2 linked regions of the Nothobranchius furzeri genome follow. The protein of the gene in region 1 purifies or fractionates together with the protein of each later gene. This does not show direct contact. Links are inferred from orthologs where the notes say so. Each region holds a gene or a part of one and is shown on either strand. Other genes may lie near its edges. The genes, in order: ftsj1 and wdr6.

Region 1 (3,237 bases):
GCAGCTTCCCCCAGCAACATGAAGATTGGTTTATGCTTGACGCATCCGCGAGGTCCGCACGGCTCCGCGCGGAAAAGTTGCGTCATTTTAACAACCACGCCCCTCCACCACGTCTCTGCACGGCCCAGAATTTCCGCAACGCGCACCTCGGAAAATTTCTAACCACGCGGACGGACGGACGTGGAAAAACATGGCGGACCGGCAAGAACTAGTATGGCAGAGGTTCGTAAATATAGACATTTGTATGATTCAGCTCTCAGAGATCACCGTGATCAACACGTGGTTAATAACTCTTGGAGAGAAATAGCTCGCACTGTCGGAAAAGACGAGGACGCTGTTAAAAATGCTGAAATGCCATGTTGTAAACAGTAATTTCTACTTCTACTATGGTGTAGTGTTGGATGCTTGCCGTAGAGCTCCATGCTGCCCCCTACAGTTTGGGAGAATATTGGCTCACCGCAGAGACAAGCCGCACGAACCATAAACGCTGCGAGTTGTGAAGCGCGTTCCATCCGCGAGCCGCATCACCGCGCGGAAAGTGAATGTGTCAAGCATAAACCAAGCTTGAGTCATACACCTAAAATGGTGCTGAAGGGGTGTGGTTGACATGCAAGTCACGTGTCTGACCAGGACCGGTAGTGAGCACCACAGGGGAACAAAGACGAGGCTTCTTTTTTAACACTTTAACCTTGTTTAATACGAACCGTTTATACGTCACTCAACAAACAACAAATACAAAGTTAAACAAGAAAAATCTCAATTTTTCTTCCAGCAGACATTTGTGCTCCATGAAAAAAGAAAATGTGTGGTTGGTCTTCACATGTATGAATTACTCGCCCCATGTCATTTATTGGACTGACGACTAGCGGTGGGGAAAATGATGCAAACCACCTAACCCTAGTTCAGTCATTTTCTCGTGTATTTGTGGACAAACCGTCTCTGGATCTTCTTCTGGAGGCTGCTTTTGCACTAAATGAGGGGTCAAAGATTAATCACGTAAGAGGGGTCGTCTCTGTCAGCGAGTCTTCTCACCTGCAGGGAGTAGGTTCTGTCAGAGTCGAAGGCGCTCAGATCACCACATGCCAAGAACGGAACAATAACACGGTTTGGACCCTCCAGCTGGTTAAAGTCAACATCTACAAGGACAGCAGCCAGAAGTCAGTGTGAACAAAATACCCGATCATTCATAGCTGAGGTATCAACCCAACTGAAAATCCGAGTGAGAAGGCCAACTGCAGCCTGTTAGAATCATTATAGTTACCATAAGTCTGGTCCAGCAGGGGGTTGGACATGTTGGGGACATAACCCTCAGGGGGACAGTAATTCTGACAAACAACAAACGCCTCTGCAAACACAAACACACATGGAGTAGAAAATACATGGTGTGTGTGTGTGTGTGTGTGTGTGTGTGTGTGTGTGTGTGTGTGTGTGTGTGTGTGTGTGTGTGTGTGTGTGTGTGTGTGTGTGTGTGTGTGTGTCTCACCAATGCTGGAGTTTCTGCTGCTACGAGGCTTAGAACAGGTCACTGTGCTGAAGAAGATCTTCAGCTGAGAGTACAGTAGCGTCACATCTTTACCTCGGAAGATCTGAGCCATGCAAGTCAGACAGCAGACACGACCAATCAACAAAAAAGCACGGCTTACTGTCTAATTTCCTGTTGCTCGTGTACTTGTGAAATCGTTTCCCTGGATAACGGAGGAATGAACACTGAGAGCTGCAAGCTGGTCTCACCTTGGCTACAAACGTCCCTCCAGGCTTCAGGACATGGGTGGTGATGTTTAGAGCCTGAGAAGAAGCAGCTGTCAGCCAGGAGTAACTAAACACCTGACAGGTGACCACAAACACCTGAACACTCATACAATATGTTTTTTTCGTCCCCACGGAGGAACTTGTTTGGACTCAAAAGTACTCACGGCCAGCAGGAGCTGAGCTTGGATGTACTCGTCCACGTCGTGAAGCCCCGTTACTACAAACAGCAAACAGGACAATGAGGACAGACCCCAAAATCTAAAGAGAAGAGGTGGGACACGGTGGAGCTCACCGTCTGGAGCTCCATCACACACCACCAGGTCTGCTGGCTGCCCCTCAAAGTGGCGTATGATCTCCTGAGCCGTTGACACCTGAGAGGAAACATGACATGAGTCACAGGACAAAAGCAAACACCGCTACAAGGACGAGGAAGCGCCGGTGTAATCGGGTCGTCTCTCTATTAGGTTACAAGTTATTATGTAAAAATCGGATCTGGCCTTCATGCAACAGAAAAACTAAAGCAGAACTAAAAACATCTCCCACGGTAACCAAACAGAAACCATGTTGCAAAACGGATTCTCGTGGGATATTTGAACGGTTTCCCCATAACTTCCAGTCTAGACTGGAAGCAGCCCAGAGAAGTACTGGTCTGCGTTGGGGCTCAGCTTCAGACTTGGGACAAAAACCTGAGAAGATAAGAATCTGATGTTCAAACACATTTGTGGCGGTGCGGCGGGACGAGCACGTCTGCGTGACGGCTGATCTGATCTGATCGGGTGTGTGTAACCCCGTCGTAGCTGCTACTCGCTACAACAGTAAATAAAGCTGAAACTAGGGCTGTCGCGGTTGAGGAATTCCTCCTGCGGTGATTCAGGGTGGCTTAATATTGCGGTGTGCGATATTATTGCAGCCCTTTTTTTATTGCAGCACTATCTAAACATAATGTTTACACATTTAAAAAAGGTTAAAAATTGCCGTGCCTTCTTTTATAACACTTTACTGAATGCAGATCAAAGGGCAGTAACAACACAGATCGCAGTAACGTTTGTTTGTCCGACAGTCGGAGTCCGACTGAACTTAAAAACAACAAAATTCAGGAGGTCAAACTTTTAAATGCAAATTTGGCTGCAGCATCTAACAAATAAGAAACAAGTCCCCATTTTGTTTAGTTGTTTAAAATCAAGCATAAAAAATTACATGTACCGGGCGCGCGCGGGGCGGGGGGTTGGGGCGCACTATCATTTCACTTTCACACACACACGAATGACGGTGATTTATAGCTCGGTCACGTCCTTGTTACCTACAAGGAAAACCAGCATGTTAACCTTATACGGTTTGAGAGAGGATCTGAGAGGGGTGGCAACATTTCCAGCAACACTGAAAACCCTCTTGGATGGTGCGCTCGTTGCACTAACGCACACGTACCTGCGTGCGACTCTGGCGAGCAAAGGGAATCTCTCCCGGTTGTTGCTCCACCATGTCAGGGGG
Region 2 (3,530 bases), on another chromosome or scaffold:
CAGCAAAGTTTCCCTTTGAAGTCCGATTTTTTTTCTTTTCAGTGGCCCTAATCCTCTTCTGTTCAAACAGCATTAGAAGTTCTTTAAAGTTGGTTCGTTTTTTTGTGCAATAAAATATAATTTGGGTATTGCACTGTAAGGGATACAGACGTAATATGTAAATCTGGTATTGCACAAGTATTGAACATGAACGGAGTATTGCATTTAGGTTATTGTGTACCAGGATAATGCCAGTACCAGTTAAACTGAGGAGTTTTACACTCTTACAGAAGCGGGGATGAATGACCTAAAGGTAGATTATGTAGTACTCTTGTTTTTATGCAGCTGAAATTATCAACGTGTTTCTGTTATTTACCTACACATGTCGTTTTTTGCTGTTTTCCCAGGTTGTTTGCAGTCTGCGAAGGTAAAAACCAAATTGACTTGTTGTGGGAGACGTTTCACCACCAGCGCTGTGTGCTCAGTGTCGCTACCTGCAGCCTGGAAGATGAAAAGGGCAACAGGTGAGCCTCTTAGAATGAATGCAACTAAAATGTGGTCATTTGTTTATTTGAATTTAGCTCTTTTTTGATTATTTTAGCAGTTCTTCCTGAATAGCAATCATTACTGTTGTCTCTCCCAGGTGTAAACTGCTGTTCAGCGCTGCTACAGATGGGAAAATCGCTGTGTGGCATTTGACTGAAGCTCATTTCTTATCCATTGATAATTCAAGTGGTGCTCCAACCCCACCAATCCCCTGCCTCGACATTCCCGCCCACCAGAGCGGCATCAACTCATTGGTTGTTTGGGTAGAGAAGCGGGGACGACAAGAGGGCGGTTGCCTAGTAACTGTTGCAAGTGGAGGAGATGATGGGCAGCTGACAGTGTCTATGATTAGGGTGCAATACCCAGAAGATTGGAAGACTAGTGGTAACAGAGGATCTTTACAGATTTCTAATGCTGACATGTTCCCACAGACAAAGGTTTGGTCTCCTAATCAGATTCGGGTTCACCTGCACTCTCAGTCCCACGTCCCGCTGGCCCACGCTGCCCCTCTCACTGCCCTGAAGCTCCTCAGCCCTGGATGTCTGGTTTCTACCTCCTCAGATCAGAGGGTCTGTCTGTGGAGGGTCAGCGGTACCAGCATCACCCACCGTGGGGCGCTGTGCTCCCATGTTGCTGATACTGCAGACCTGGCAGTGTGGGAAGAGGAGGAAGGAAAATGTGAGGAGAAACCTGACCCAGTTTGGGAAAACAGCGATGGAAAATGCTTTGAGACTAGCGGTGATCAAACGGGGAATGACGCCGGCGGGAAAACTGGTTCAAAGTCTTCCTGTGAGAGCTGCAAAAAGGGACAGAGGGTGGGATGGGTTCTGGCTTGTGGCCAGGGCTTCCAACTTCTAAAAATCGAGACTACAGTAATGGAGGCTGAGGTGTGCGAAGAGAAACTATCCAGTTAATGTGACTTTACAGAAATAACCAAACTACGTGGAATCCTTTTGAATATATCCATTTGTGTATTGGATGAAATAGTTTTTAAATGAAGTTAATTTATTTATGAGTTGTGAATGCGTTTTTACGAGGATAATACTTGTAACACCTTGTGACACCTATAAGTGACGTTATGCAGTTTGCTGGGTTCCTTATATAGGAAACATTATTTCTGATTGGCTTAATGACCTGACCTGAATTGGAATGTTTATTATGTGAAGAGCCTTGAGATGACTTGTCGTGATTTGGCGCTATATAAATAAACTTGAATTTAATTGAACACACACAAAAGTCCTAATACTAACATCTGGCTAAAAAATAAGTTAATAATCTTATTTTTATCCCACTAATCACCTGTTTAATTTTCTGAAAGGAACATTTATTTCCAGCAGCGTGGAAAAAAATTAGACATGATTTTTTTCTAAAACCAGTTAACACCTGCAGAAAGCATTTAGTGCTCAAAGATTCAAACTCTTATTGCTGTTCTGTAAGAATATAAAACATCTTCTAACTCAAGTTTAATTTGCATTTTTGCCATTTAAAACTATTCATATATCCACTTTGGGAATCTGGAGCCAAATCTTGCTCCTTAAAAGATGCAGAGTCTGTGCTTGAAACTGTTTAACTTGTGTGTGTGTGCGTGTGTGTGTGTGCGTGCGTGCGTGCGTGTGTGTGTGTGTGTTATGGGCTCAAACAGTTTGCACCTGTTTCCATCTGAGGAGAAAAAGCAAGTTGCCATTTGTAAATCATTAAAAGAATTTGGGTTGAAGGTATTCAGAAAATGGCTGCACAGTGGAGTTGAGCTGTTGCCTTGCAGCAAGAAGGTCCTGGGTTCGCTTCCCGGCCTGGGATCTTTCTGCATGGAGTTTGCATGTTCTCCCTGTGCATGCGTGGGTTCTCTCCGGGTACTCCGGCTTCCTCCCACAGTCCAAAAGCATGACTGTTAGGTTAATTGGCCTGTCTTAATTGTCTTTAGGTGTGTGTGTGTGTGTGTTTGATTGTCCTGTGTGTGTCTGTGTTGCCCTGCGATGGACTGGCTCTCTGTCCAGGGTGTACCCCGCCTGATTGCCCGTTGACCGCTGGAGATAGGCGCCACTACGTGGACAAAACGGGTTCAGACGATAGATGGATGGATGGTATTCAGAAAATCCTGAAATGATTTTCATTGCTCAAACATACCACTTCAACACATGATCAAGAATATTTTTCAACATTCCGCTGTTTTTTAACACAAGTAGATTTGTCAGAATCTGTTGGGGTTTCTTTTTTAAAGATCTTCAGCACATTCTGGAAGTAAAGAAAGGAAAAGCTTCCACACGGAGGTGTTATCTGGTTGTGTCCGAGCAGGTATGCTCAGGTGACCCTTCACAAAACCTGACCTCAGCATCTCTTAGAATCTGGGAACTGTTCAGCACCGAGAGTAAAAGGTTAGCCAGTATCAACATCTGATATTATTGCTGCCAAAGAATTTACAATTTCTATAAAAACGTGCTTCTTTGTTTTGTTTGCAAAGATGAAAATGGAGAAAAGTGTGACTAAATAAACACTGCCCCCTTTCTGTTTGGATGTTTTTTTCCAGAATCGCCACTTTTCTCATTTAAAGCACGCCAATCTTTTCTGCCAGGATCATGGGCTGTGCAGAAAATGACTGATAAAGCACCCAAAGTTCAAATGCAAAGTGAAAGTCTGCAGAACTACTGTACAAAAAGTATAAAAGATTACAAGAAAAGTCTGACTGCTTGGAGGCAAAGTGAAAAGAACCGTAGCAATGTTGCTCTAACATGATGTGTGTGTGTTTACTGGGGGTGGAGGGCTGCCGATAACCATTAATATTTTAATATTTAACTCATCTCATGTTACTTTTTGTCAAGTGCCCATCTCACTAACTGCAACCGCAATGAAATTAGAGAAAGAAACAAAAAGAGATGGTGGGAAACGTATGAGTGACAGATGAAACAGGGCCAAGTGGTTGTTGAAGAGGTGGAACCTGAAGACCAAACTAATGAAAGCTCCCAGGATCTTGTTTCCTCCGAGTCCTTTGTGCCCTTCGCTGTCAGATA

Evidence for each region.
Region 2: the proteins of ftsj1 (region 1) and wdr6 purify together in Homo sapiens (affinity purification with mass spectrometry; 3 studies listed by BioGRID and IntAct, with this or other methods). This does not show direct contact. The link is inferred for Nothobranchius furzeri from reciprocal best matches to the Homo sapiens genes FTSJ1 and WDR6.

The regions. Positions count from the first base shown.
Region 1 is NC_091754.1:42,118,386-42,121,622, reverse strand, and holds part of ftsj1 (tRNA (cytidine(32)/guanosine(34)-2'-O)-methyltransferase), read right to left. Parts: intron 2,121-3,237; coding exon 2,042-2,120; intron 1,967-2,041; coding exon 1,914-1,966; intron 1,786-1,913; coding exon 1,732-1,785; intron 1,587-1,731; coding exon 1,484-1,586; intron 1,346-1,483; coding exon 1,262-1,345; intron 1,137-1,261; coding exon 1,033-1,136; intron 1-1,032. UniProt on the Homo sapiens protein: Methylates the 2'-O-ribose of nucleotides at positions 32 and 34 of the tRNA anticodon loop of substrate tRNAs. Requisite for faithful cytoplasmic translation.
Region 2 is NC_091755.1:33,771,641-33,775,170, reverse strand, and holds the end of wdr6 (tRNA (34-2'-O)-methyltransferase regulator WDR6), read left to right. Parts: intron 1-386; coding exon 387-503; intron 504-622; coding exon 623-1,439; 3' UTR 1,440-3,028; downstream 3,029-3,530. UniProt on the Homo sapiens protein: Together with methyltransferase FTSJ1, methylates the 2'-O-ribose of nucleotides at position 34 of the tRNA anticodon loop of substrate tRNAs. Required for the correct positioning of the substrate tRNA for methylation.